Linked DNA regions of Elephas maximus indicus. The protein of the gene in region 2 interacts with the protein of the main gene of each other region in a pairwise test. Links are inferred from orthologs where the notes say so. Each region holds a gene or a part of one and is shown on either strand. Other genes may lie near its edges.

Region 1 (7,699 bases), on a different chromosome or scaffold from region 2:
AGTCACATATTCATCTTTTTCTTTCAAAGCCTCACCAGAAGCACATTTAACACCCACATTTCTAGCAACATTCTGTTGCTGGTGCCATATACATTCCCTAAGATGATACTTTCCCTATAGCTCTCTTCACTTTCTTTCGGAGCTCTCCCCAGAATTGCCTTTGTCATCTATAATTCTACCAACAGTCTCTTCAAGGCAATCTAAGCTTTTACTACTATTAGGTGCCTTAAAACTCTTCCAGCCTCCACCCATTACCCAATTCCCAAACCATTTCCATATTGTAGGTATTTGTTACAGCAGCACTCCCACTTCTCGGTACCAAATTCTGTCTTAGTTATCTAGTGCTGCTGTAACAGAAATATCCCAAGTGAATGGCTTTAACAAACATTTATTTTCTCACAATTTAGGAAGCTAGAAGTCCAAATTTAGGGTACCACCTCTAGGGGAAGTCTTTATCTGTTGGCTCTAGAGGAAGGTCCATGTGTTTGCTTTGAGCTTCTGCTCTTGGGCAAGCTTCATGGGGCTTGACATCTCTCTTCCCTCATCTCTGCTACTGTTGCTTGCTTATTTAATCTCTTTTATATCTCAAAAGAGACTGGCTTAAAACACACCCTATACTTATCCTGTCTCATTAACATAAAGACAATCCATTCCCAAATGGGATTATAACCACAGGCATAGAGGTTAGGATTCACAACACATTTTTGGGAGATAAAATTCAGTCTGCAACAGCTGGTTATTTTAAAACACAAACATTTAATTAAACACCTACTCTGTTAGAGGCTGTTAGAGGCACTGGGCCAGGCCCTTTGCACAGTAATTGTCACAGCAGTCCTACAGAATGGCAATCACTCTCGGGAACAGGGACTCTCAAACTTTAATAAGAGAACTTGATTACTCTTAAAGGACAAAAATTCTTTGAACCTCTGAGAATATGTCCTAGAACCTCGTGTGAGAAACCCTTTTCTAGATAATTCCACTGGGTGATCTGGTAAAGCCCTTCACCCCAGGAAATTAGGCTAAACAGAGAACGGACCAGTAACCTCATGATCTGAAAGGCAGTGGTAGATGAGAGGGAGTCTAGCAGAGGGAATGTGTGTGCAGGGCGTAGGGGACTGGTACCTTGAGCTCTGGAAGGCTTAGGATCTGCTGGAAGGACACTCGTGCCTGCAGTGACTCCTCCATGCTCCGATGACCCTGAGGAAGCAGCTCACAAAACCGCTTGTGGGCTCTGCCAAAAAGGGGAACTTGTTGTCTCACTCAACCAATTACAGCCTTCCTGGGTATATTATGTTCCCATTCCTCGTGTAGGAGCCCCGGTGGTACAGTGGTTAAAGTGTTTGGCTAGTAACTGAAAGATGGGGCCGGGGGGGCGGGGAGCGGTTTCGAACCTACTAGCCACTCTGCAGGAGAAAGATACGGCAATCTGCTTCCATAAAGATTTTTTTGTTTTTGTTTTGTTTTTTTGTATGTATGTGGCAGAGCCACAGAGGCTCACCTGGCGTATAATGGGTAGCAATGCAAGGAATTAAAAAAATCCCACTGCCCTCAAATGGATTCCAACTTATAGCAACCCTGTAGGACAGAGTAGAATAGTCCCATAGGGTTTCCAAGGCTGTAAATCTTTACGGAAGCAGACTGCCACATCTTTCTCCGGGAGGCGTCGGTAAGTTCGAACTTTGGACCTTTTGGTTAGCGGTCGAGAGTTTAACCACTGCACCACCAGGGCTCTGCACATAAGACTTAGGAAAGTCATCACGTGACATAAGCAGAAAGGAGATATATCACAAGATGTACAGGCTGGAAATCCATTCTCACGACGAGTATTTATGGAGGGCCTGCTGTGAGCCAGGCACTGTGACGGGCAATGGTTCTGGAGATCTCAGAGGGATGAAGTTGGGGGAAAGAGCCAGATGTTAGCCCTGAAGAACAGGGGAATATGAACAGAATCGAAATCTCATTCTCGCCCCAAGGATCTCTGGTTCCTCAAAGCCTCCCTCTCTTTATCAGCTTCCCTGAACCATCTGTTCCTCACCACTCACCTGCTTCTCACTGGGATTATCTTTGTCAAGGGAAGTCCAGGAATCTCCTCACTCAAGTGCCCTAGCCCACGCTGAAGCTGTCACAAGGCTAGAAAACGGGGTTCCAGCCTGTGGTCAAATCCTTTAACTGTGAGTGTAGTCTTAAGCAAGTCACCAAATCTCTCTGAACCTGTTTCATTGTCCCGGTTCCTCTCTCGTGAGCATGGAAATAGGATATGTAGGCAACCATTTAGCACAGTTCCTGGCGCATGGTAAGCGTTAACGGTTACTATATTATTCACGTAAAGCTGGGGGAAGGAGTCAGGCATCTCTGGTTTTGCCAGAGGACAGTCAGCCAAGAGCTACAGCAGCCCCTGCCGGCCTGGGGCAGGAAGTTCGGGAGTCCTGTGTAGAAGCAGGGTCAAAGAACGCCCAACTTTTCCTGGGGACTGTGAGGCGGCTTCGCGGTGCAAAGCGGGGGGCCCCAGTGGAATGTCCCGGAAGGAGGGCGCATTCTGGGCCGGGGCTCGGAGTCCAGTTCCGGCTCCGCTGCCTAACTCAGGCAAGCCCCTGCCCCTCCCTCGGGGGGCCTAGCGTATCCGTAAAACAGCACCACCCGAAACTGTCCCTAGAGGGCCCCGAAGTCGGAGGCGGGGGTTCCAGGGAGCACTTACAGGAGGATCTCCTGCTTGGTCAGGAACGTCAAGTCCTGGAAGGCAAAGCCAGAGAATGGGTCAGCCGGCCGCCCCGAGGCCTCACTCGCCCTGCCGCCCGCTCTGAGCCCCGCTCCCGGGACAAGGCCACGCGCGAGCTCCCAGGGGACCGGCGTCCCGTGCACCTGGTACTCGGCCAGCAGCTCCTTAGACAGGCGACTGCCCGAGCCCCCCATCGCCGCGTCGCGCGCACTGCTCCGCCAACTCGGCTCCGGACTCCGACAACTTTCTCACTTCCGCCCTCTGGTCGCGTCACCGCCCCGTCCCCGCAGCAACCGCTCCTTAAAGCGCCCGAGTCCTCCCAGAGGGGTTTAGCCGGCGAGCTCCCGGCTCCGGGCGGTCCTTAAGCGAGCTGGAGGCGGGGCCCGGGGCGGGGCCGGACGCTCCGGGGCGGAGCCCAGGCCACACGGCCCCGCCTCCAGGGTGGGCGGGCCGGGCGGTGCTGCGCGCGTGAGCGCAGGATGCGCATGCGTGAAGAGAGTTGCGCCCTAGCTATGGGTACTGTGGCCGCTGAGGGCGAAGTCGCGCGGTGCGCCTTCCTCACCTACTGCTGGTGGTGGCAGCGGCGGTCCTGGGCGGGGTCGAGTAAGGGACATCTGGGAAGTCCTGGAGCCAGGGTACCTGGGAAATCTCGAGACTCGCTGAGTGGCCGAAACCGGGCGGCTACGCACCTGCCCAGCGAAGGCTTTTCCGGACTTGATCTCTCGGCATTCGCCCCATGTTTTGCAGCCCCCATGCCACCTCCTCCAGGAGTATCCACAACCTTGCTGCCGCTGAGGGCCCACTGAATGCCAAGCACTTTGCGTAGTTTTCTTTGATTCTTAGGAACCCTGCAAGGTAGGTTCTGGTTTTACAAATGTGGAAATACAGAGGTCCACGTTCGGGCAATTAGAAAGTGGTCGCTGCAATCCAAGGCTCGCTCCGTTGCTCTCTACTGCTGTCGTCATTCCAGCTGAGACGCTCTCCTCTCACCCCACCCCACCCACACCCCTAGACCGCGTGCACCCTGTCCGTAGGGTCCGAGGCTGACCTGTTTGTTGTTGCCCCCTCTCAGCCCCTAGGACAGTTTTAAAAAATATATAGTGCTTTAGGTGAAAATTTGCAGAGCAAATCAATTTCCCATTCGATAGTTTGTACATGAAGTGTTCCATGACAGTGGTTGCGTTCTCCACAATGTGTCAGCACTCTCCCCATTTCCGTTGTGGGTTCCCCGGCTCCTTCCTTCCGCTTTTTCTATACTTTCTTGTCTTCTTATCTTTGCTTTTTGGCAAATGTTGTCCTTTTGATCTTGTATAGTTGATTGTTCTAAGGAACATGTTCCTCTCTGACGTTGTTGTTTATTTTATGGGCCCTAGAACAATTCTTGGTACATCTTGGTACATTTTAGTAGGGTTCAGTAAGTATTTATTGGATGAATGAATGAATGAATGAAGGAAATTGCACTATTACAAAGATGATTCCCAGGTGCGTGGCGCAGGTGGTATTAATTATTGATTCTTCCACTTCATTCTCCTTGCTGATCTTTGTAAACTCTAAACCTGAGCATATCAGACTCAGTTTAAAACCATTAAAAAAAAAAAACAAAAAAAAACCTTTGCTGTGAAGTCAGTTCTGACCTATAGTGACTCTATAGGACAGAGCAGAACTGCCCCATAGGGTTTCCAAAGAGCAGCTAGTGGATTCGAAGTGCCAGCCTTTTGGTTAGCAGCTGTAGCTCCCCTTAGCTCCTAACCACAGTGCCACCCACACCACGGCTCCTTAAAACCATTAAATGGTTTAAAAAACCCAAGTCCTGACCCTCTGTTACCTGACTTCCAACTCTCTTTCTGCCCTTTTCCTGTGGCTCTCTTGTGTTTCAGCCACTTTGGGCTCTCAGTTCTTTTTCCTAGCTGTGATCCACCCAGTCTCAGGGTCTTTGCACGCTGTGTTCTCCTTTACCTACAAAGTCTTCTCCTCAAGCCCTTTCCATTGCTCAGTAACTCTTAGCCACTTGTAGTCATCCTTCAGTTCAAACATCTTATCCTCAGGGAAGCCTTTCCTGACACCCTAAACTAGATAAGAAATCTATTTTACACCCACAGAGTACCCAGTCCATCTCCTTGACAGCATGCAAATTTTATATTGGATGATAATTGGTTTAATATCTGTTTCCTGCACTAGACTGTAAGATTGAACAGCTATGGAGAACCATTATCCCCAGGACCTGATTTGTGGCAGTTGTTTAGTAAATGTTTGCTGAGTGTCTGAAGTGTTCCCAGTACTCGATAATCAGGCAGTCATCTGAGAGTGACTCTAGTAAGACTCACAGTATCTACATATAACGAGTTCCACCATTGTAGAAATAGTCCACTCCAAGAAATGGGAGGCCGGGAAGCTGTGGGAACACCAAGGCCAAGTGACTGGCCTAGTCCTAGGAAGCTATAACCTGATCATTTGTCTCTAACAACAGCTCTTCCTGTAGAAAAGGTTTGGTCTTCAGTTAGTTAACCAAAAAAACCAAACCCGTTGCTGTCGATTCAGTTCCGACTCAGCAATTCTCTAGGACAGAGTAGAACTGCCCCATAGGGTTTCTAAGGAGCAGCTAGTGGATTTGAACTGCTGACCTTTTGATTAGCAGCCAAGCCCTTAACCACTTGTACCACCAGGGTGCCTTGGTTAGTAAAAAGTGGAGGCAAAAAACAAGAAGCTGTCACTGCCTACACTAGACAGAGGGAGCACTGGCCAGCCAGTAGCTGACCTTGTGGTGAGTCTATATTTGTTCATAGTGAAGATGTTGGAATTGACTTTATATCATGGTGACCAGTGAGATCTAGATTTTCTGGTCACCTCACTTGGCTCTGAAACCTTTTTCACTGAACATCCTTCTGATTATAATTGTGCTTTCTGGTAGATTTTTTTTTTTTTTTTTTACGAAGGAGGGAATATACTGACCAGCCAACAAGAACATTTTGTGCCGTTTGGCATGATTTTCATGTTCGAACCCACGGCCACTTCACAGAAGAAAGATGTGGTAGTCTGCTTCTGGAAACCCTATGGGACAGTTCTACTCTGACCTGTAGGGTCACTGTGAGTTGGAATTGACTTTACAGCAAGGGATTTTTTGAAAAGTTCACAAAGCTAGTGAATGTTGTTAGCTGGAAACCCTCCCAAACCTTGCCCCATGGCCATGTGCATCTCTTCCTTTGTGTCCTTTCTTACTACAATAAAGATGTAATCATTAAGTAGAGCCCTTTCCTTGAGTTCTGTGAGTCATTCCAATGAATTACGAACCTGAGAGAGTAGTGAGGGCCAGCAGGTCAGAAATGAGAGGGGTTGGGGCCCTCTGAGCTTATAGCAGGTATCCTGAGTGGGTAGAGGGAACCCCAGACTTGTAACTAGCAGGTCAAAAGTGAGGGGAGACCAGCCCCCGTCCAAGCTTGAGGCTGGCATCCTGAAGGGGTAGTGGAAAAACCTCAAACTGCGGCCAAGGGGTCAGAAATGAGGGTGTTGTATGGACTCTCAAGCTTGCAGCTGGCAGCTAAAGTCTTAGGACTACTTGTCCATCTGGAGGACTGTGTCCTTTAACTTGTGAGCTCTGACACAACTTTAGGTGGTCAGGATCAGAGGAAGAAGTGCTGCATAGGCAGCTGGTGTCAGAACTGAACAGAGAAGTCAAAAAATTAGATACTTGATTGTTCTTGTTGTTAGGTGCCGACGAGTTGGTTCTGACTCATAGCGACCCCATGCACAACAGAACGAAACACTGCCTGGTCCTGAGCCATCCTTACAATCGTTGTCATGCTTGAGCTCATTGTTGCAGCCACTGTGTCAGTCCACCTCGTTGAGGGTCTTCCTCTTTTCCGCTGACCCTGTACTCTGCCAAGCATGATGTCCTTCTCCAGGGACTGATCCCTCCTGACAACATGTCCAAAGTATGTAAGACGCAGTCTTGCCATCCTTGCTTCTAAGGAGCATTCTGGCTGTACTTCTTCCAAGACAGATTTGTTCGTTCTTTTGGCACCCCATGGTATATTCAATATTCTTCTCCAGCACCACAATTCAAAGGCGTCAATTCTTCTTCGGTCTTCCTTATTCGTTGTCCAGCTTTCACATGCATATGATGCAATTGAAAATATCATGGCTTGGGTCAGGCACACCTTAGTCTTCAAGGTGACATCTTTGCTCTTCAACACTTTGAAGAGGTCCTTTGCAGCAGATTTACCCAATGCAATGCATCTTGTGATTTCTCAACTGCTGCTTCCAGGGCTGTTGATTGTGGATCCAAGTAAAATGAAATCCTTGACAACTTCAGTCTTTTCTCTGTTTATCATGATGTTGCTCATTGGTCCAGTTGTGAGGATTTTTGTTTTCTTTATGTTGAGGTGTAATCCATACTGAAGGCTGTGGTCTTTGATCTTCATTAGTAAGTGCCTCAAGTCCTCTTCACTTTCAGCAAGCAAGGTTGTGTCATCTGCATAACGCAGGTTGTTAATGAGTCTTCCTCCAATCCTGATGCCCCATTCTTCTTCATATAGTCCAGCTTCTCAGATTATTTGCTCAGCATACAGATTGAATAGGTATGGTGAAAGAATACAACCCTGACACACACCTTTCTTGACTTTAAACCAATCAGTATCCCCTTGTTCTGTCTGAACAACTGCCTCTTGATCTATGTAAAGGCTCCTCTATGAGCACAATTAAGTGTTCTGGAATTCCTATTCTTCGCAGTGTTATCCATAGTTTGTTATGTTCCACACAGTAGAATGCCTTTGCATAGTCAGTAAAACACAGATAAACATCCTTCTGGTATTCTCTGCTTTCAGCCAGGATCCATCTGACATCATCAGTGATATCCCTGGTTCCGTATCCTCTTCTGAAACTGGCCTGAATTTCTGGCAGTTCCCTGCTGCAGCTGTTTTTGAATGATCTTCAGCAAAATTTTGCTTGCGTGTGACATTAATGATATTGTTCGATAATTTCCACATT
Region 2 (7,630 bases):
ACATATTTTACTCACACTCCTGAGACCCTTTTTTTTTTTTTTTGGAAAGAGGTCTTTCCCCAGCAGAGTGTACAACACAGATCTAGTAATCCTGCAGCCTGCAGGTTAGCAGCTGCTCCATAGATCAACCCTCCTTCTTTTGTCTCTAAGAGCTAAGAAGAGGCAGAGAAAAGTTACTGTTAGTGCTAAAGCCACTGCTCCGTGAACCAGTGAAACCCCTACCTATGTCACCAAACCACTGTTACCAAACCGCCAGACAAAAGCAGAGTAACTTGCTTGGAAGTTGAAAAACATTTCAATACACTCCAGGGAGCAACCCACACTTAGGTGCCTGACAGATGAAAAGCGCCCACTTGTTTTTAAAAGTCCACTTATTTTGCTCTCTTCAACAAAGGTGGCAAACTGATGATTAAACATTGAATAATCTCATCTGGAAGATGCCGCCCACTTGCTAAACCTATGATTCACTAATAAGCGGCTTCAACGCAACTCATAACTTTAAAGAATGAATTACCAGAGCCCCTGACTTCACAAATTCCCTAAGAAATGAAAAGAGTACTCATCGTATATAACCGACAACCATTTTTACTTTAGACACCTATACACGGTCGTGCTTCCTGTAAAGAAAATATTTCCCCACAACCTCACATTTAATCGCTTGCATTACAGGCGATAGGCTCCAACTGAGTTCTACCAACTGAGTTACAAGTCAATTTTTCTCCCAAAATAAAATGTCCCGTTAAAAAAACATTTTAAAACAAAAGTGCTTCTCATTCTCCTATTTTCCTCTATTTACGAACCAATTAAATTACTAACGTGGTAAAAACTAGAAACTCCTGTAATGCTTCAGCGATCAACATGTGTCAGACTTCCAGCCTGTTCTCTAAGACACAGTTGATTCCTTTGTTCCTACTGACTGGAGATGAACTCCTGATTAAAATTTTAAAAACTACTTTGGAACGGATAGGCGGGTATGTAAAACGATTTGCATGGAAAGCCTTCATAAATCAACGATATTCAAAAATAATAGGGAGGACACATACCTAAGGAGAGAAAAGGAGGCTCCTCAAAGCTCCGAGGACCTTTCCGGGCTCACCCTAAATGAAAGCCAGTTTCCTGGCTCCGAGGTAAAATGATGGCTGAGGCCTCGGGTCCCAGGGGCCTCGCCCTCGGGAGCGGTACCGGCGGGGCGGGCCTGGGGGCCCACAGAGCTGTCCCCTGTCCTATTCACTTTTCGTGGCTCGGAATCGGGCGAGCACAGCCCAAGGAGGCACCGGGGCGAGAAGCGGGGAGCAGCGCCCGGCGCCGCCCAGGACGCCGCGGGGCAGCAGGACCGAGCGCGGCGCGGCGAGAAGCGCCCGGGACTCCGGGCCGAGGGGGACAGCCGAACCGATCGCGACACCAGCCCGGCCACCCGCCCCCCGGGCCCGTCCCGCCGCCAGGGACCCTCAACCGCCCCCTGCCCTGGCCCTGAGCCGGCACGGGCGGGCTAGCGAACCCAGCTACAACTCCACAACTTGCCAGCCTCGCCCCCCGGGCCCCCGGGTTCCCGGGGCGATTCGAACCCGGGAGGGGCGGAGAAGCAGAGGCGGGATTTCCCCGGAAACGATTCCTCCCCGCCGCCGAGCCCACACCGCTGCCTGCGTTCGCTCCGCCACCAGCACCGAGGCCCCCGACGCCCCCGCGGCCCTGCCCGCCAACGCCGCGGGCCGCGCTCCGGGGCCGTTTCCGGCGACGCGAGCGGCCGCTCCTCGCAGCCCCCCGGCCGCGGCCGCCACTCACCCGAAGCCGCTGCGGCTCGGAGCCTGCGGCTCCGTCAGGCTCAGTCCGCGAGGGCGCCCTGCCGCCTCGTCCTCCGTCTGCGCCCCGGCGAGCTCTTCCCCGCGAGCACAGCGGCCCACGCGAGGCCACGGCGGGCACGCGCGGGCGGGCGGGCGCGAGGGCGCGGGGCCGGGTTGTCCCTCCGCCTCGACCGCCGCCTCCGCCGCCGCCGCCGCCGCCGCCTCCCGAGTTCGGGGCTCTGCTGCAATGTCTGCGAGGCTGACTTTGAGCGCCTCGCTCGCCGCCCGCCCGCCCGCCCGCCCGCCCGCAGCCGCGCTCCTCCCTCTGCCGCCGAGTCCTCCGCGGCCCAGTCCCTCCCCTCGCCGCTCCACGCCATTCAGCTCTTCAGCCAAGTTTCTTAACCCTTTTTTCCCCCGTCTCTCCGGGGCGCTCGGGTCCAGGAGGCTGCAGGAGCTGGGGAGACCCCTCTATTTTGTTGTTTTCCTCCTCGCCCGCCACCCAGAGGGCCGGGCCGGGGCTGCAGGACCGGGGGGAGCGGGAGGACCGCGTCGGCAAGGAGAAGTGGGTGCTCGGCGCGTCCCAGCCGTCCCCCTCGGCTCCTGGATCTGTCCAGCCGCCCCCGACCGCCTCAGGCACCTGGACAGCTCCTCCCCGGGGCCTGGGGGCATAGTTCCTGTTACGTTAGGACAAAGGGCTCGCGTTCGGGGCGCAGCCTGGGCGACCGGGCACCCTAAATGCTTCCAGGGTCCCTGCCTGGCTGTTGGCGCCGTATGAGTCTCCCTCCTCCCATTTCACCCCACTACACGCGTTCCCGCGGCACCTTTCACCCACCCTCCAACTTCCACATCCTTTTAATCTGTGCGTCCTGCTTTAATCTTGAGGGGCGAGGGCACTAACACTAGGTTACTTGGGCCCCTTGGCCAGCTCGCAGTAGGCACCCAACGATAAATGTGGAGTGCCTCCGAGAGGAAAACTGGGAAGGAGACCTGAGGAGCGCCCCTTTCAGCTCCCTGGACGGACGTAGGACCCAGGAACAGGGTTTATCTTCAGTTGCTTTGTCACTGCGAAGTCTCCAGCGGAGTCTGTCAGCGAATCCACATCATCCCCGGAAAGCCTTTGACCCGACAAGACAAGGCGAAAAGAACAGGGCTGCCACTTCAGCAGCTCTCTTCGGTTCTGTCTCCGAATAAGAAATAACAATTACATCACGAGGCCGGGGCGGCAGCTCTGTGTACCTCGGTTTCCTGCAGCCTAATCTCGCTGAACACGCCTCTCAGTGTGTGTGTGTGTGTGTGTGTGTGTGTGTGTGTGTGTGTGTGTGTGTGTGTGTGTGTGTGTGTGTGTGTGTGTGTGTGTGTGTGTGTGTGTGTGTGTGTGTGTGTGTGTGTGTGTGTGTGTGTGTGTGTGTGTGTGTGTGTGTGTGTGTGTGTGTGTGTGGTGGGGGGGAGGGTTATAGATTGGTGAAGCGAGAAAGTGTAGGGAGGAGAGAGTCATACGAAACCATAATTTCCCCCTTCTCTTTACGTTTGCTGTTCGCACATCTTATCTTCAAAGCTCCCCAAACCTCTAACTAGAACTATTAACACTCCCTCAACACATCACCTATGTCAGGTTTCTCTTTGGCTCTAGCTTTAGTAACTCCCCCTGAAACAATTATCAAGGGAAATGGATGCCACTGCTGAAATTGTGTTTGCTTGGCACAAAAACGCTGAAGTACAGCTTAGCCTCACCCTAAACACCGAAATGGCACACTCGTGTTAAAACACTTCTTACACAAATGAGTCAGGCACTCCACTCGTGTAGATTTTCATATCCTTACCAATTTGGTAGCATTTGAAAATAGAGTTGCTAGTGCACTTTAAAAAAAAAAAAAAAAAACTATCCAAGTTATAAAACCGTGTTCCATGTCTGTTATGTAATGGTTGTATTGTGCATTTAAAATTTCACTTAACCTTTAAAAATATGAATGAGAGTTTCGGAATGCCTACACAGTCTTGAAAGCGAAAGCCATTTTTGAAAATAATTCTTCATAAATCTAGCACCTAGCACAGCACCTGGCACATGGCAGGAATATTTTGCTTAATAGTGATGGTGCATTTTAAAACTGTTTTACATCAGCCTGGTGATTCAACTATGCAATCTGTTGCCTTCTTATACGGTTTAAACTTCATGTAATAGTTTATTTGCATATACCACGGTTCGAAATCTGCTCCAGGTGAATTCCTTAGTAAAGTCTGCTGTTCTGTAATACGTCATTTATCCAGGACTGATACAAAATAAACTGCCCCAGTGAGTGATGATCAGCATAATTAGAGTTTGTCCCTTTAAGGGGCCAAACTTTTTGGTAAAATATGCTTTAACTTTTATGGGAAAGATTTTCCAAAATGTATTATAAATGTTTCTGTTTTCTCAAGCACTTCATTGAACGTCATTTAACATTTTCTTGAAAATCCGAGGTCAATTTTATTAAAATGAATTATTGTAGTAGATTGTAGTGGATTCCACAAACGCATCGATTTCCTATTCTATATCAGGTATCTTCCCAGGTGCTAAGGATGCTCCCAGAGGCTAAAGAGCTATCAACCTGTTGCCATCTAGTTGATTCTGATTCCTAGCAACCCTATAGGACACAGTAGAACTGCCCCATAGGGTTTCAGAGGAGTGGCTGGTGGATTCGGACTGCAAACCTTTTAGTTAGCAGCCTTAGCTCTTAACTACTGCATAAAAAAAAAAAAATTCTATCCAGTCGATTCTGACTCATAGCGACCCTATAGGACAGAGTAGAACTGCCTCATAGAGTTCCCAAGGAACGCCTGGTGAATTCGAACTGCCAACCTTTTGGATAGCAGCCGTTGTAAATAACCACTACGCCACCAGGGTTTCCTAACCATTGCATTCAAGACATCAATGGCTGAATAAAGGACTTTGGAATGCTACCACTTAGATACTAACTCGGCCTTTTGTAGTTTCTCCCCCTTCACTAACTGACAATCTGTTGTCAGTTGTCTCTCTGTTGCCAGCATTCCTGCCTCTAACATTCCCCTCCTCTTCTGATTGGCAGCTTCTAGCCTGGGCAGACTGGGAATTCAGATAGCCTCGCTTGTCACAATCCTGTCTAAAGTAAAACTAAATAGGTTCCATGTCAGAGACTTACGTACTCACCAATGAGTAAGGCACATTTACCTTAGTGCGTAGACTCTAGGACAGATATTTGGACAGCTCGAATGTTGCTTTTGAAACATTCTTTTTGCTTCTCGTTGAGGCTGTTAGATAAACAACCTCTTAAAACCTGAGGTTACATAATTAACCCAACAAGCTAAGTCTTGGTCCTGCCCTTCAACACTACTTTTAAAAAGTCCACTGCCATATGTTAGATGACTGAACAAAGGGGGAGCAGAACTGCTAGTTCCTTGTAATGAATCTGCCTTCTCAACACCAACAGAAAGCCAATCATTGAAGTCTCAAACCCTATTTGACAGTGCACTCATGTTAAGTAAATTGCACACCTTTTGTGGAATTCATTTTTACTTAATCCTGCTTAATTGTGTTGGGATGATTTTGTTGTTCTTTTTTTTTTTTTAATCAATACCCAAATTCCAGGCTAAGAGTCATCACAGGGATCCTGGGGCTTGTATGTAATAGAAGCATGCCTATTTAGTAATTTGTATTTTGAAGCCAACTCTCATTTTAATAAATTGTGATGTGAAAAAAATTTTTTAACCATTTACACACTTGGGTTTTTTTGTTGTTTTGTTTTTTAAGCCCAGGGTTCCTGTGGGATCAGATACTTATAGTTCAGGCTCAATATGCTTACCTACCACAAAAAAATAATCTGGTGAGGTATGTCTCAGATGTGCCACCTGAACCTCTCCTGTGATAGCACTTTTCACACCATTTAGTGATGGGGTGTTTGCTTGTCTGTACTTAGCACTTAGCACGCAAACACTATAGGCAGGGAACCCATATCCCTAACACTCACATCTGGATATCTCCACCACCTAGCCCTGTGCTCTGCAAACAGAAGGCATTCAGTAAACACTGGGGCAGATACTGTCATAGCCTAGAGGACAGAATGTTTATTTCTATTTGGGTGTGGAGCAAGGGAGATCAGAGAAAATTTTACAGAGAAAGTCATGCTTCAACTGGCTATTAAATGGTGAGAAGAAATTGCCAGGTAGACAAAGTGGGAAAGGAGTTCTCAGGAGAAGATACAGACTGTTTTACAATAGAGAAGTAGGAAGAAAACAAAAACATGCTTTGAGAATTATTGAACTTACACACTATGGAATGAACTATTACACTTTGGGGGGATATATATATGTATATGTCCATGGCAGTGGGTTTTTATATGTATATATATTATACATAATAATAATGGATATATTATATACAGATGGAACTTCAGTGTAGCTATACCCTTAGTTACAGCCCCATAACCTCTAGCGTGGCACAATTAAAAAAAAAAAAGCCACAAATATGAGCTACACATGTCATTTTAGATTTTCTGGTAGCCACATTTAGAAATGTAAAAAGAAACAGGTGAAGATAATTTTAACAATGTACTTTAACCCAATGTGTCCAAAATATTATCATTTCAATGTGTAATCAACATAATGCTATTAATTAGATATTTAAAATTATTTTATTTGTACTAAAAAAACAAAATAAAACCCGTTGACGCCGAGTCAATTTCTACTCAGAACAACCCTATAGGACAGAGTAGAACTGCCCCATAGGGTTTCCAAGGAAGGTCTGGTGGATTCGAACTGCCAACCCTTTGGTTAGTAACCATAGTTCTTAACTGCTACAGCACCAGGGTTTCTTTATTTGTACTATGTCTTCAAAATCCACCATGCATTTCACACATGCAGTGTATCTCGATTTGGACTAGCCACTTTCCAGTGCTCAGTAGCCACATGTGGCCAGTGACCAGTGTATTAGACAGTGTATCTCTAAAGAACTTGTGAAACTTTTAACTAGGTAAAGCCAAAAGGAATTTTCTCTTCTTATTAAAGCTTAGATTTAATTTGTGCCGATTACCAGTGTTTAACTAAACTGCATTATAAAGACTATTTTCTTGAGTCTAGGCTTTTATACCAATTAGAGAATCAACAAAGTTTACACTTTATGTACTGTGTCTTCATTAATCGTATTATAGTTACAACTACCCCATCTCTATCATCTACGGTGGTGGACTGTAAATGTAAACTGGCTCTACGGCAGAAATGAAATGCTAAAAATTTTGGGTTGAGTAAGCTTAAAAAAAAGTCCTCCCTATTTTTTTTTAGAGCACAGACTTACCTCTATGCTAGTTACTGTGAAGCATCCCCCTAGCTGTAGAAGGCCAGGTTTTGCTCTTCAACTACTCCATGCTCAGTTACTTGTGGACTACAAAATTTGCCCAGCCTTTGTTTGAGGCAGCCACCTACCTAAAGCTGCGGCAATAAGGATGTGCTACAGCTACCTGAGCGTTGAAGGAGGCCTAACAAGCTCAAATGGAGATGTTCAGACACCCTTTCTGCAGGTTACTATGCAGCTTTCCTTTAATGAAATTGGAGCTTTTTATTTTGGGTGGGACTGAAGTACTAGGATACTAAATTTCTACACTAAAGGGAGTCATGAGGACTAGGGTTAGATCTTTAAAAAAAAGAAAATCTGAAAATAATTGAGTCCAGGCAGCTGGAAGTGTACAAGGAAATGACAAATAATAAAATGCAAATGTATGGTGATGCCTTTTTAGTCCCCAAACAAGAAAATGTCTGGGATACCTACGGAGTCCAAAAAGCCGTGATGCCATGGTCATTAGGCACCCAGATTGCTCCTATTCTGCTCTCATTGGCTCTTGGTT
Region 3 (7,549 bases), on a different chromosome or scaffold from region 2:
CTAACATGATACAACAAATACACATGCAACCAAAAATGCGCTAGCCCTGTTTACATCTTATTTTATAAGTGAAAAAGAAAACAAAAATATTTGCTGCACACATACAAAGCAAAAATGCTCATAACAACTACAGTCCTCATTTCTGCAACTGGTCACACGGTCATAACTGGTATTTAGAACTATCTTCTTCCACCACCCATTGTGTATTCCCTTTGCCATCACCAAGCACCTCAGCTGGTTGTGGTTCTTTTCCTGGTGGGGTGACCCAAGCCTTTATTCCTGAAGGATCTGGGGCAGTAGTAGTCATGTTGAAATTGGGCTGCAGTGTTTTTCCATTGATTTTAATCACAGGGCATTGTAGTACTAAGAGACACCCTAAGAGAGCTCCTGCATTCCAGACATACTCTTCTTTACCTCCATTATGTAATATCAATCCGATTTCCTATTGGTAATCAGGATCAATCACACCAGCCAGTATGGTAACTCCCTTCTTTGCCTGTTGATCCAGAGGCATAAGGAGCCCAAAGAGGCCAGGTGGCATTCTTAGCTTCCAGTTCAATGGAACCAGTGATGTGTCTCCAGTTGGAAGTATTCCTCCCTTCCAAAGAACTAAGACCTCTAGAGCCACAGAGCATAAGGTCACAGGGACAAGAAGCAAAAATTTTGCAAGTGGGTCACTAGGGTTAATAGTGAGTGGTGCCACTCCCATTTCTACCTCTTGATTCCTAGACCCATGAATTCTGGCTATGGGAGAAACCGCACCATATACTGGACGCTGATTTAGAACACATACAGCCTCCTGCAATACACTGTCCCAAACCTGCAAGGAACTGCCACCTAGCTGGCACCATAATTGTGTCTTTAGAAGGCCGTTCCATTGTTCTATCAATCCAGCTGCTTCAGGATGATGGGGATGTTATCAGTCCTCCAGGTCTCACTCGGGGCAACACTGAGACATGAGTCAGTTGAAAGTGAAAGAAAGCTTTATTTGGTTGGCCAAATAAAAGAGCACATCAGGACCTGCATCGCCAAGATTGTTTCCTGATCGGCAGGGACAGCAGTTTATATGCGTAGGATAACGGAGTGGGGGCTCTTCTTCAGGTGGTGTTCAGGAATGTGGTCCCTCAGGGTTGGTGGACAACTTCTACGATGATGTTGTTGTCATTGGGTACAGAAAGTCGCACTGGGATTCAGGATTCACGAGATGGCGGCAGCAAAGGGAAAATGGTGACTTAGCTCCTCCCAGCCCCCCGCAACCCGTCAGCGCCATCTCTGTAATATGTTGCCAGGAGGACAAGGTGAGGCTGTCTGTGCATGAATGCGTTGTTCTGTGCCTGCAAGGGCACCTCAGACTGATCCTGTCCAGTATTTGCCCCAGGGAATGTTGTAACTGGTTTGATCTTCCATCCAGACCACTAAAACTTTCTCCATGTCAGCAATGAGGCTGTTTGGCTTTCTTGTCATTCACTTGTTTACTGGAGTAGCACTTTTAATTTCCTTCAAGAGCTTTTCCTTTGCATTCACAACTTGGCTAACTGTTTGGTACAAGAGGCCTAGCTTTCAGCCTATCTTGGCTTTCAACATACCTTCCTCACTAAGCTTAATCATTTCTAGCTTTCGAGTTAAAGTGGGAGATGTGTGACTCTTCCTTTCACTTGAACACTTAAGAGGACATATAATTGGCCTAATTTCAATATTGTCGTGTCTCAGATAATAGGGAGGCCTGAGCAGAGGGAGAGAGACTGGGGAACGGCTGGTCAGAAAAGCAGTCAAAAAAAACACAACATGTATCGATTAAGTTTGCTGTCTTAAATGGGAGCAGTTCATGGTGCCCCAAAACAATCACGTTTGTATCGTCAAAGATCACTGATTACAGATCACCATAATAGATAATACAATAATGAAAAGGTTTGAAATATTGCAAGAATTACCAAAGTGTGACACAGAGACATGAAGTCAGCACATGCTGTTGGAAAAATTGCACTCATAGATTTGCTCGACGCAGGATTGTCACAACCATCAATTTATAAAAAACACAACATCTGCGAAACACAATAAAATGAAGTGTGCCTGTAACTGCCTATTTGTATTAGTGGCTGTATCTAGTCCTGAGTCTTAAATGCTACTGCACAACCACTATCATGTCAAATGATTCAACAACTCACCTGACAACAAGAGAAGGAGACATTAACCGCAGTCCAAGAACAGACTAAGGTCTCCGGGTATTTTTCTGGTTTTGTTCAGCAAAATCTTGACAATTGTGAAAATCTGGATATCACAGATTAACGTCTTCTAGTCTGACATCACCTTGGTTCTCCAGTCATGCTCCCAAGCAAACGCCCGATCTAATTTCTTCTCCAGAGTGGCTGCCTATGGATAGGCTCGCCCTTGTCAGCCAACACACAAAGCACGGAGTGTCTCCAAATCTTGGTGAATGGGCATATAGTTTATGTAAGGCAAGGAGGGTTCCCTGGTGGCACGGTGGTTAAGCACTGGCTGCTAACCCAATGGTCTGTGGTAGAACCCACGACCACTCCCTCCTCTGACAGTCGGCTTCCATAAAGATTACAGCCTTGGAAACCCTAGGAGGCAGTACTTCCCTGTCCTATATGGTCGCTACGAGTTGGAATCGACTACACGGCAAGGGGTTTTACGTAAGGCCGCGATCCGTTCTCCAACCTCGAATCCGATGTGGGGGAATCTGACAAAACCTAGATTTGCAAAGCTGACGACCCTCTCGGAGCACTAGCAATCCCCCCAGCGTTATCGCAGACACAGAGGGACCAGCGCGGCGCTCCTACTCTGACATCCCTCCCAGCTCAGCAGGGCCTAAGGCAGCAGGCTTCAACTCTGGCTGAGACTCAGATTCACCGAGATTTTACGAACACTGTTATGGGCGCCATCCCACACCCTCCCAACAGAATCGGGGTGAGGACCCTGACACCAGCTTCACAGCGCCGGTGTGTACAAAGTCGGCAGCCGCACCACATCTGCAGGCACTTCAGCGCTCCCAGCAAGTTCCGCGCCGGGTAGCTCCGCCTAGACTCTGCCGGGGCAGCCCAGGTCCCTCAGTCTCCTAGCAACGCGCCACCTACCGGCCCGGAGGGCTAGGGAAGGGCCTCCCGCGCGGGCGATATCGTTCTCCCGCGACATCGCCCCGCCTCTGGTCCCTGATTGGCTAGAATCGCACCAGGAGTTTCCTCCTACTCCTTCAGATGTCCCCCGCCGCATCCAAAGACTCATCTGGAACGTTCTTTCCATCAGCCAATCATTTCCTCCAGCCAGTAATCAGCGAATGATTCCTTCACTGTCTCCCACCCCTAGCACGGTCCAGAATTGTCTCTCAGTTAAAAAAAAAAAAAAAAAAAATTTTTTTTTTTAAGTGGCCCCTGGAGGCCTGGTGGCGCAATGGTTAAGTGATAGGACTGCTAACCAAGAGGTAAAGGTAAGCAGTTCAAATTCACCTGCCGGTCCTTGGAAACCCTACAGGGCAGTTCTATCCTGTCCTCTAGGGTCGCTGTGGGTCGGAGTCGCCTCCAAAGCAACGAGTTTGGGTTTTCTTTTTTTCTTTTTTTGGTTAAGTGGCCTCTAGTCGGCCTCTCCGCAGTGCTGCGCAAGCGCAGCCACTTTGCGGGATGCTGGCGCAGTAGCGCGGACTCCCTGGCCGCTGGCTAAGCATGTGGCTTCGCATGTCCTGCTGTCTGCTGAGGGAATCATACCACCCTAGATGAGACCACTTTGGGAATCTTCAAAGGGAAGATAATCTCTGCGTAAGCTGCTGCACTTGTTGCTAGGGTGCGTTGAGCCACAGGCGAGTGGTCTGAGCGGCATGTGCAGACCCTAATGGTCCCTCTGTCCGGAAGGGGGTATCTTCAGGGGAAAGGTGAATTGGAGGGTGGAGACGAAGGTAGATCTCAGCCTGTCACACCTTGCAGCCGAGGAAAGGGGCCCCAGGCAGAATTAGCGTTTGCAGGTGAGCCGCCTGGTGGCTGTGCCCGCTGGCTTCTGTCCTTCTGGGGCAATAAACTCCTTTATCTGACCCAAAAATGTGTCTTCCAGGATAGTTGGGCATGCCTGGAACAGTCAAAACTCAGAAATCCAGGCCACCCTTCCTCTCTGTGTTTGAGATCAGAGAGGGCCAGAGCTTGACTGAGGGTCGCAAGGCTGGTTAGAACCAAGGTCTAGTTTGGCCCCTGAGAAAATTCAGCATGCCAGTGAGTGGGAGATCTGAATGCTTAACTAGTGGCTGGTTGTCAAAATTTATTCTACTGTTGGTCATTTGGGTATTTTCCAGTTTGGGGCAATTATGAATAGTGCTGCCATGAATAATCTTGCAAATGTCTTTTTGTAGACTGTACACATTTCCATCAGGTATGTATGTTGTGTGCCGTTGAGTTGATTCTGACTCATAGCGACCCTAGAGGACAGAGTAGAGCTGCTCTATAGTGTCTCCTAGGCCATAATCTTTAGGGAATTCACCAGGTTTTTTCCTCTCACGGAGCAACTGGAGCAGCTGGTGGATCCGAACCTCCAACCTTTCAGTTAGCAGCAGATCTCTTAACCGTTGTGCCACCAGAGTTCTAAGTGTATATATATATATATATATATATATATATATAACAACAACATACACCTGTTGATGTGGAGTCAATTTCAACTCATAGCAGACCCTATTGGACAGAGTAGAACTGCCCCATAGAGTTTCCAAGGAGCAGCAGGTGGATTTGAACTGCCGAACTTTTGGTTAGCAGCCTTAGCGCTTAACCACTATGCCACCAGGGCTTTGTTACAGCAGCAATAGGAAACTAATATGCTGCCAAAATATTTTCCAAAGTACTTTTATCAATTTATAATTTTTACAATTTACATTTTTTAACTTAGGGAGCATTGGAAAAAAAAAAACATACTTCAGCCCTACACCACATCAAAGTGAACTGGAATCTCAGTAGGCCTGGAAAAAAAACTTTTTTTTTTTTAAGTTCATTAGGTAATTCTAATGCATCTCGAGGCTGAAAACCACTTACCTAAAGTCTTAAATCTAAATCCAGTTCTCATCGTTGAAGAACAGTGTGTCAGTGATCTGTCTAAAAGTACAGAAAGCATTTTCTGGAGAGTGCTGGTCCAGATCATTGAAGGGTCTTTCTCTGCCTCCGCAGTTAACGAACCTTTACATTGTCCTGCGGTTGAAGTACCTACTAACAATTCAAAGGAATAGTAAGACTAAGGTCCCTTTGTGCTTACAGAGTGTTTTCTTTTAATGTGCTCATAAGGTAGCTCTTTCAGAGACTGCTGCAATTTGGCACCTTGACCTTCCTGGAGAGCTTGACTTTGGGAGCTGGGAGCTTGTGCACAGTGCTCGGGAGTCCTCAGAGGGGATGCCCGGGGAGCGACGTGGCCTACCTGGCTTGTGGTATAGCACAGTCCTCCCAGCTCCTTGTGCTAAGGTTGCAGAAGGCAGCTGGGTGGCCCTGGGGGAATCCTGAAGCAGAAGGTACAGTAAAACCTGCAAAAGCCAGAACCTGTGTGAGGTAGAAACCTATCAAAAAGGAATATGCAAGTATTTTCCAACTAATAGCAATAGAAAAGTGGTAAGACTGCACCCTGTCAAAATGGAAAACTTGCAAAACCCAGAAAAACAAGGAGGTCCCGTCAAGCTCCTCCTCTCACAGGTTTTTCACTCTAGTTCTTACAGCTTAGGCAGGTTGGGCTACATTAGGGCTCTGGGCAGCGTGTGCCCACCTTCCTCTTTCGCAAGGCTAAGGACAGTCTTGAAAGGAAATACATGCAGGCTTCTCTCACTTGCAGCCAGGGATCCTGAAGTCTGGGGAAAGTCTTTCATTCCCCACATTTGAAGGTTTTTGTCTTTGGTAGTAATGCATCAACTGCTGTGCCTCCCTAGGGGACAGATTGACAAGTCCTGAGGCCATGGGCCATTCCCATCACAAAGATACATCATTGAAAGGAATGAAGAGTAGTCTAATGTTGAAACAATAAACTACCTGGAGCTAGTAGTTCATGTGGTTTCCTGACACGCACCAAGTGTCACTGTATTTTCCTCTAAAATTTGAAATATTCCATGACATTCCTATGAGATTGCTGCAGCACACCAGGGTGCCTTGTCACACAATTTGGGAACCACAGCTGTGACCATTTAAAAGATGAGTGACTCATTTTTTCCTTGAATGAGTATTCAATCATTTTCTTCCCAAGGTACAGAAGATCCAATGTAACCTGACCTCTTCCACCCTAAGAATCCCTCTAAAACTAAGCGCAGTAGGAGATCCTTTTAAACGCCCACAGCTGGCACTTAGTGCCCATAGCCCTGTGCAGATTCTGACCTTTTCCCGCAGAGGACATCTTAGGTGAATCTAACACTATCCTGGGAGATAAGCAGTTTCCTATTTCAAATGAAATGAATTAAAAATTATACTATTTAAAAATTAGCCCAATTTTTATATGAGAGACTGATTAGATTTGTAAACTTTCACTTACAGCACAATAAAAAAAAAAAAGTAGCCCATTAACTTAGAGATCTGGCCACCATTAGGAAAGCACTGGCAGAGACTATTAAACACTAAGAAAATAAAAATCACACTACAGTGTACTGCAGATTTATAAGAATTCTCAATGACTTTCCTGCCCCTCAACATTTCAGATCTGATTTTCACACTCTCAGGTAATCAAATAATTTCAGAAGCCATAGATCATAACTTTACCTGGCTCCCAAGAGGGATTTCAAACCCAATAAATTATTCATTCTGAAAACAGGCTTAACTATGGATGTAAATATTCCAACTTAAGCACAAGTTCTGCTTAATATCCTACTTAAAATACAGTTAACAAATATAATTAGATAATTATATGTTACAAATAAATTAAAGTAGATCATAATACATAGAACAAAATTATGACAAAAGCTAAACGCAAACAGGAGAACAGATTCAAGTGAAAATTTTCCAGTGCATTTTATTCATAATGTAGCTGCATTCAAGATGCTGAAGGAAACATCCATATCGGGTGAGTTCTTGTTGGCAGCAAGGAAGAGGCAGAACTTCTTTAGTCATTCTCCGGTTCAGCCTCATCATCAGAAGCAGTCCTTGATTTTTTGTTAGATGCTTCATAAGCTTGTAGAATAAACCTGAGCTGATTGATGACTTCTTCATCTGCTGTTTTCATGTGAAATCCCAACATCTTTGTAATGGTTTCTCGAAACTCAGCAAGCTGCAAGAACCAAGACATCATTAGTTTTGCTCACCCACTTGTTACATAAAGTGAAGCTGCTACTAGAAATGTAGTCTTATTAAACATTTCTTTATGAAATGTCTATTCTACATTCAAACAGTATTTTTTTAATTAAGCTCCTAGAATCACCTGTTGCCATTGAGCTGAATCCAAATCATAGCAACCCTATAGGACAGAGTATAACTGCCCCATAGGGTTTCCAAGGAGCGGCTGGTGGATTCGAACAGCCAATCTTTTGGTTAGCAGCTGAGCTCTTAACCACTGTGCCACCAGGGCCCCCCAAGATCCTAGAATAGTGGTCTATTAT
Region 4 (7,816 bases), on a different chromosome or scaffold from region 2:
GCCTGGATCTTTCTCTTGCCATCCTTAAATAACAACCCCTGATGTCGCGGAAGGGCATAGTTCGCTGTAAATGCAAAAGCACCAAGGCACAGAGGCAGTAACGGAACAGGAAAAGAGAGGCAGAGGAGGCGAGAAAGAGACTCGGCCAACGATTCTGCCTGTCTTTTCTCCAGCGCTTTACCCCCAGGACGTCTGCGAGCTGCCTCCCAGGTTAGAACTTGTCAGAAGTAGTTCTCAGCCGCCTGGAGAGGTCGCGTCCTTGGTGACGGGGGTGTGGGATTACACTGGGGTTCTCAAAGTTAGCATGAGGATAGCGCCTGGCTTTTCAACCCTGCAAACTTCTGGATTCCCGGAGCTTGGCTCTTAGGGAGCACTGTGGGTGAAGCGAGAATTTGCTTGCAAACTGCTCCTTCAGGAGTGGCGCGATCAAGCTACTATCACGCTTGCTTCGCGCTTCTCTCCCTTCTACAATGTAAGGAGAGTGTGAGCAGCTTTTACGCCCAAGGTTGTAGTGCCGGGTCGGAGCTAAGGAGACACGTGGTTTCGGACCATGAGAACCTGTGAATCCAGCCATAGGGGGAAGATTGGAAGGACAAAAGAGGGAGAAGGAAGGTCTGGCAACCTCGGACGGGAGTAGGAGGAACCGAAAAGAGATGAATAGGGTGGTGGGATGGGACAGAAAAAGAAAGAAAAAAAGACTGGAGCATCTCTAAGTAAAAGCTCTACACTCGACAGTTGCACATCTGAGTTTCCCAAAAGATTTTGGGCCTTTGAGCACGTGACCAGCCCCAAGCCCGGACACTCATCGGAACCAGCACACGCACGGGGCCCCACCCTCTGTGCGCGGGTCAATTAAGACTCTCCCACTCGGATATCCGTGCCCCTTATCTACAGCTGCCCCCACAAATGGACATACGACCTCTCTCAGCTCCTCCTCTTCCTACTCCTTTCCCCTCTTGCCACATCCCAGCGCCCAGCCGGCTAACCAATCTCCGCCCTAGCGTCCAGGCTTCAGGGATGGGGAGATGCCCAATGCACTCTCGGGACGCTCCTAGAGGGTCTTCGGGGAGTGGGCGGGAGAGGAACACAGCCCGGTGGAAGTGAAAAGAGCTTGCAGCCCAACTCTCCAAAGTGCTTCTTGCCAGTTCACCTCTCAAGGGGTCCTGGATGCCGGAAGGTTCAGACCTGGCTGTCTCCAACTTTTAGTTGCCAAGATGTAGAGGGAGGTGCGAAGGGAGGGAGAGTAGAGTCTCAGAGAACCGAAGGGTTGGTCAGGAAGAAAGAAAGAGGGTAGAGTTTGAGGGTACACAGAGGCTTGCCCAGATGCCCATGATATGCGGGCACTGACCCGCCAAGACTAAAGTTGTGGCCAAGCAAAAAAAGAAGGGCTCCGGCGCAAGGCGTAGGAACCCTCAAAATCTCGAGCACAGAAGCGGAGGAGAAGGACAAAGTGACTCCCCAAAACCGGAGGGCCATCCGTCGAGCGGCCCGGAGTGCAACAGGAGCAGGTGTCTGGACCCTGCTCCCAGTGTGCCGCCCGACAGCCGCCAGCTCACCCGGGATTCCTGCCTGTGCCTCTGCCGGAGGTCTTGGCCCGAGAGAGCACCCATCACTTGCCTCCCGCAAGCGCCCTGTGTTTACGAAAGAACTCGGGACCCTGGCTCTCCCTACCCCGGGTAGTGCGGACTCTCTTCGCCTGCAGAACTTCCTCCACTCAACTTTTTCGGGGTCGCGCTCTTCCCTGGGCTGCAGGGGCCCGGGCACGCAGACCTGTCCAGGGCGCAGTGCCGGCACGAGAGGAGCGCAAGGGCGACGGTCCCCGCAGCAGCGTCCGGCTCCATAACACCTCCCCTCTGCCTCCCACCCCTGCGAGGGGATGTGTCTGCTGCCGGGACGCTGGTGGGCCGTGTAACCAGGGCAGTGTGTGCGCCCGTGCATGCCCGCCCCACCACCCGCCCGTGCGCCCTGCGCGCCCAGCCCGGGCCAGGGGCCGCTTGGCGCGAGCACTTCCAGCTGCTTAGGCCGAGAGGCATCCCTCTTCCGCTCTCCCTCCCTCCCGCTTCCACTTCCGCGCACCAGAGAGACGCGCAGAAAAGATTCAGTGCAACTCAAGGATCCGGAGGAGGCAACCAACATCGCTCCCTTCCCAAAAAGCGCCCTCCCGCGTCCCTCCAGAACTCCCGAGAGGCGTCAACACCTTCCCACAACTTTGTACGCCGAGGCCATTTGCAGTTCCGTCTGCGAAGGCGAACTCAGGGAACTACGCCCCGCCAAGCTCTTTCCCCTTCAACTGGGTGACCTCCCCTCCCCCATCGCTCCATCTGGCTGCACTTGGCCGGACCCGGGCGCCTCGGTGCCGGCGGGCTCGCTTACCTCGCATGGTGTAGCCGCTCTCCCGCTCCGCGTAGTCATGAAGCTGCTCCCAGCCCGAACCCCGGAGAGCCCCAAAATCCCCGCTCAGCACAAGTGCAGAAGGTGGTCGGTGAAGAGCTGCTCTGCCGAGAAAACCATCCCTTTAGGCGAACGCCTTGGCCGGAGGGTGACGCTTGCCGCCGCCGCTGCTGTTAAGCTAACAGTTTGGAGGAGGGTGGTGGTGACTGTTTTGTTTTGATGGTTGTTTGTCTGTTTGTTTGTTTTCGGGAAGGGTGGAAAAAAAAAAATGTCCTGGCTGGCTGGTGCCTGGGTTTTGTTTTGCTTTTTTCTCTTTTCCTTCTCTCCAATGTGCTTGCTTTTAAAAAATGCCACTGCCTCCGGCTCAGAAGATTTCTTTTGTGATCACTTGGACTGAGGAGGAGGAGGAAGGGCAGCAGCGGGAGGAGGAGTTGGTGGTGGTTTTGTTAGTTACAAAGAAGAGGGAGAAGGAGCAAGGGGAAAAAAAAAAAAGGAAGCAGAAAGAAAAGAAAGGCGGTGTGGATGGCAGAGCATGTGCGTTTTCACATGACATCTGTGCCTGTTAGCGGATCCACAATGTGAATTTTCACTGTTCAGTTACAGGGAGGAAGGGAGCGAGAGAGAAAGAGGAGAGAGATGGAGAGAGAGAGTCGAGAAGGGGCTTATACGCCAGGGCGGGTTTGGCCGCGACTTCCAGGCCCCGCCTCCTGTCAGCGCCGTGGCCAATCAGCTCCCGGCAGCGCTTGGCGGGGCTGGAACCGCGGGGGAGGGGACCCGAGGAGCGGGTGGGGGTGGCGGCGGTGAGGGACACTGGAGCCAGAGGTGGACGGGGCTGGAACCCGGACTGTCCCAACAGGGCAAAGGAGAAGGACGGACGCACCCAGGGAGTCGGGCGGACCTGCAGGTGACAGTCACTTCCGACTCCAGCGGGAGGGAGGAGAACACTGGCCAGAGCTCCGCGAGCGAGGGACGCGAGGCTCCCCGGTCCCACGGTCTGTCCTCTCTCGCAGCGCTTGTGAGCCCCGGATAGTTAGTTTTGAATTGATGGCAGCTCTCTGCCCAGTCCTTTTCGGTAAACTTCGCTTCTCTGGCAGGGCCGTTTCCATGTGCCAGGACCCTTCAGTTTCAGTGGCGGAAGAGTGCAAATCCACTTCCATCACTTTTTGCGGAACTAAAATACAATCCCGTGCAAGTAACCGTCCACTTCCTTTAAAAACATTTTTCAGATGCTCCCCCGTCCTAAAAAAGACAGGGGACTGACAGCTTTCCTCTTTTTTTTTTTTTTAAGTGCTTTTCTTTTGTCAAGGAAATGCATTTTTATCAGCATGTGGCTAATCCCTGGGGGTATTGGGCTACTGGACTCAAGGATAACAGGCCAAGTTGATCAGTGTGGCCACCTAAGTGACGGGTAGTCAAAGGGGCTGAGGGCAAATGTGTGGGTGCTGCTCTTTAGTTGATGAAGATGGGGAACTCCAGGAGGAAGGAACTGTTAACCTTAGTTGCTGCCAGAACACATTTACCTATTTAGAAGAGATTGGCAATTAAATAGAAGTGTTATTTGTATTCCTTAAGTGAAAATTATCATCTGTGACCTTTTATTCATATCTTAATAATGACCTAATGCCTATCAGGAAAACTATTATTTTGCAAGTTTTTCCCTCTCTGTGGAGAAATAAATACATTATATAGATGACTACATCTGCTTTCCTCCCTATAGTAGGGAGCTTCTTAAATATTTTGGCTAATTGGTCACCCTAAAAGACCAAAAAACCAAAAAAACCAAACCCAGTGCGGTGGAGTCGATTTCTACTCATAGCGACCCTAAAAGGCAGGGAGGTGAAAAAATTGGTCACTGTGACATCAGAATAATTCAGGGCAACTAGCAACAACAATAAGTCAATTTTAAGGCATCGAGGCTTTAACTTAATAGCATACCTGTTGGCAGAGCAGGCCTCATCAACGTTCAGGCATCTAAATAATTTGATTTTTACTAGTATTTACTCATTTTATGTCATATAGCACAAAATACAATGTAGACTTGGCAATTATTTAGTTAATTAGATCACTCTACGCTGCCAAAGCAGGTCCTCCCTCCCTGATTAAATAAAAAGTGGATTACTTGCTGAGTCTTCACTAGTGTTAAATTGATATAGTCTGCTACTTGCCCTCCCATTTGCAAGCCAATGTGTAATTTAGGAAATTTTTAGTATTAAGTGTGAAAGCTGATTGAGTCATTAATTAAATGAAATGAACAAAAGGAAGTTACTGTTCAGAATAGTTATTCCCTTATAAATACCTTTTGCCTAGATTTGTAATTGACACAGTAGTTAATCTTTTAAGATAATATTTAAGGCTCCCTGGTTTGATCATTTTTAATCAAGTAAAATATATTCATCATAACTACATTAAAGCTGCACTAAGTTATGCCTAATTTAGTTGCTTCATTAAAAATTACTGAATATAAAATAGTCAAGAAACAAATTGTGACTATGTCATTTTAATTTCATGTGAGCTTCAAGCAGAGACAGACGAGTGTTGAAAATTCCAAATCTTTTGTAAATATTGTTATTGTTGTTATTATTTTAGATTTATATTTCCCATTAGAGGAAAGAGGAATTTCAAAATTCAAGAATTTTAACTCTGTAATGTAGTCTTAAATTTTTAAACATTTGTTGGATTCTGAAAGTTCTTTTTACTCCTTCAGTATCTGTAATCCTTAAAAGAGTAGTCAACATATATATGAAAAGTACTTTTTCCCCGTAAGATACTTTTGTGTGTCGTTTGCTTTGTGAGTTCAAGGATGTATAATTTTGCTTAGGGATATATCTTACATTTCTTAATCCCTTCTGAATATCATTGGGAAAACTGTTCACTAGAAATAAAGACTATAAACATGTTATTCATTTTTCAAAACTGTGTGTGTAATATATTACATGTATGATGATATACAAGTTTTTTCTTCTTTTAGGGTGGAATAAATGTTGCTCATTGGTTATCGTGATCTGGGTTGTCTTAGTTATCTAGTGCTGCTATAACAGAAATGCCACAAGTGAGTGGCTTTAACAAACAGAATTTTTTCACAGTTTCGGAGGCTAGAAGTCCAAGCGCAGGGTGCCAGCTGCAGGGGAAGGCTTTCTCTCTCTGTTGGCTCTGGAGGAAGGTTCTTGTCTCTCCTAGCCTCTGCTCCTGGGCGGTCCTCGTGTGGCTTGGCAGTTCTCTTCCCCCATCTCTGCTTGCTAGCTTGGGTTTATTCCCTTTTATATCTCAAAAGAGATTGACTCAAAACACACTCTACACTAATCCTATCTCATTAACGTAACAAAGACAACCCATTCCCAAATGAGATTATAACCACAGGCATAGAGTTTATGATTTACAACATGTATTTTTGGGGGACACAGTTCAATCCATAACATGGGTCATTGTATATCTTCCTAAGAATTTAAAAAATGAATTCTTGAGTGTTTTCTAATAACTTCCAAATTTATTTCAACTGGGTGGGACCTGTTTCTGTAAAATAAATATTCATGATCTAAATGAAAGAAATCTACATTTTCCAAGCAGTGACAAAACACTTATATATAACTTGATGTTTTGTAACCTATGTGAAAGCAAATATCCATATTGCAAATGACAAAACAATGATACATCTATATTATTGTCCTTGTTCATATGAAGTACCCAGAAAAAAACAAACCCAGTGCTATCGAGTCGATTGTATGTGAAGTACAGTGTCAGTAATTTAATTTGAATGACTATGGAACTGTCTGGTTTCCTATAAGCTTGAAACTTTGCTTTGGGCTCTGGATCTGAAGCACATCTTAAATTAATAGCTAAATTCTGATAAATTTATATGACAATTAGTAAGTCACACAGCACTACATAATCACAAGAATTGATAAAATTTCACTCAGGCTTCCCTGTTTGCTTGCTTTCTCCACATGTCATCAACCCTCAGGCTTAGCTAAGAGGCTTTGGAGTAAAAATGACAAGAAGTATTCTGACCAAGCGGAAGGTTTAATATAAGCCAAAAAGGTAGGGTAGCCTTGAAAAAAAGATATTTCAATCTCAAACTGCTTCAACCCAAATAAGTAGGAATGTTTCACTATATTCGGAGCTGGTCAATCTCCACAGAGAGAGTCTTTTCACTAATTATGAATCTTAGAGGGACACTGGCAATATTGATAACAATATTACGTAAGCAATGATGGAAAGCTTCGTATATCTAGTCCAGTGTAGGGAGTGGTAGTAGCTGTGAAAATTGAGAAAGAGACATAAAGCTGCCTTTAAATACTGGAAACACCAGAAAAATATAAGAACTTAACAGCTGAACCCATAAAAATGGAAATAGCAAAGTGGTGAGTTCCTTGTTGCTGGAAACATCTAAACAAGAGCGGCATGGAAGACCCTAGGAAAGACGTTCTAGTAGAGATGATCCTGCAGTAGGTTGGAAATTGTCTGGATTGCCTCCAAGATCTTCTGTAACTCTGAATGTATCCGCATGTAGTCTATGACCACTGCACCAGAAGTTGCAACAGAGATGCACTTTCTCCGCTGAAATGCAAGCTTCGTGAGAGCAAGAGCCGGAATATCCTTAGAGTTTGGAAAAGCTCCTGGGACTTGGTAGTGCTTGGTAATTATTAGTTGAATGAATGCTTCCAAGTCCTTTGCCCACTGGTTCTGAACCAGAAATGGAGCAAAGACCTGAATAAGGTTTCTTTCTTAGCATCTAATTAAAAGAGAAAGAGATAGATAGATACGTACGTAGGTAGATAGATACAGATAAAGAGAGAGACTGCATTTTAAACTCTTCCAATTTGGGGAAGAGAAAAATGATGTTTGAGATTGGTTACATAATTATTAAAGAAAACTGAATCTAGTTTTTTTTATATTCATGATATTCTCAATTTTATTCTAATGTGGAGAGTTTTCTTTTTGTACTTTAGGGTCTGTTTCATTTTAAAGTATGGATGCAAGTCGAACATATTTTCACAATGAAAAAATGCAAAATTTTCAAAAAAATGTATAGTTTGTGCTTTAGGCAATAAAATGGAAAGTGTGTTTTTGGGACAAAACATAAGATGAACCATAATATGCGGGATACAAAGTGAGTAGTGTAAGCTTTAGGAAGAGGGCAAGATACACAGGTCAGGGGAAAAAGTTAACATTGGTCACATGAATCATGTGATCCAACAGCCTATCTAATTTCTAATTCTTTTAAGAGTCTGCATGTTTTATATTCTCTCCCATTCTATCTTTCTTAAACAGATAATGGAACAGAGCCTTAGAAAGATTAACTTATTTGAGACCACAAATATAAACATGCTGGATCCACTATTCAAACCCAGATCTAGCCACTAAAATGTAAGTTCCATCAGTGTAGGGACTTTTCTTGATTTTATTTCTTTCCTTATTGAATCCCCAG

The links.
Region 1: the proteins of NRIP1 (region 2) and CIB1 interact in a two-hybrid assay, tested with the Homo sapiens proteins (2 studies listed by BioGRID and IntAct). The link is inferred for Elephas maximus indicus from reciprocal best matches to the Homo sapiens genes NRIP1 and CIB1.
Region 3: the proteins of NRIP1 (region 2) and ESR2 interact in a two-hybrid assay, tested with the Homo sapiens proteins (2 studies listed by BioGRID, with this or other methods). The link is inferred for Elephas maximus indicus from reciprocal best matches to the Homo sapiens genes NRIP1 and ESR2.
Region 4: the proteins of NRIP1 (region 2) and RORB interact in a two-hybrid assay, tested with the Homo sapiens proteins (2 studies listed by BioGRID). The link is inferred for Elephas maximus indicus from reciprocal best matches to the Homo sapiens genes NRIP1 and RORB.

Annotation. Positions count from the first base shown.
Region 1 is NC_064831.1:75,440,614-75,448,312, reverse strand, and holds the start of CIB1 (calcium and integrin-binding protein 1), read right to left. Parts: upstream 3,018-7,699; 5' UTR 2,911-3,017; coding exon 2,860-2,910; intron 2,731-2,859; coding exon 2,696-2,730; intron 1,232-2,695; coding exon 1,123-1,231; intron 1-1,122. UniProt on the Homo sapiens protein: Calcium-binding protein that plays a role in the regulation of numerous cellular processes, such as cell differentiation, cell division, cell proliferation, cell migration, thrombosis, angiogenesis, cardiac hypertrophy and apoptosis.
Region 2 is NC_064836.1:46,669,357-46,676,986, reverse strand, and holds the start of NRIP1 (nuclear receptor-interacting protein 1), read right to left. Parts: upstream 3,006-7,630; 5' UTR 2,769-3,005; intron 1,862-2,768; exon of another isoform or gene 1,783-1,861; intron 1-1,782. UniProt on the Homo sapiens protein: Modulates transcriptional activation by steroid receptors such as NR3C1, NR3C2 and ESR1. Also modulates transcriptional repression by nuclear hormone receptors.
Region 3 is NC_064828.1:76,639,165-76,646,713, forward strand, and holds the start of ESR2 (estrogen receptor beta), read right to left. Parts: upstream 3,011-7,549; 5' UTR 2,166-3,010; intron 1-2,165. Other genes in the region: coiled-coil domain-containing protein 170-like, read right to left, coding at 7,057-7,221.
Region 4 is NC_064827.1:90,655,030-90,662,845, reverse strand, and holds the start of RORB (nuclear receptor ROR-beta), read right to left. Parts: upstream 3,016-7,816; 5' UTR 2,381-3,015; coding exon 2,374-2,380; intron 1-2,373. UniProt on the Homo sapiens protein: Nuclear receptor that binds DNA as a monomer to ROR response elements (RORE) containing a single core motif half-site 5'-AGGTCA-3' preceded by a short A-T-rich sequence.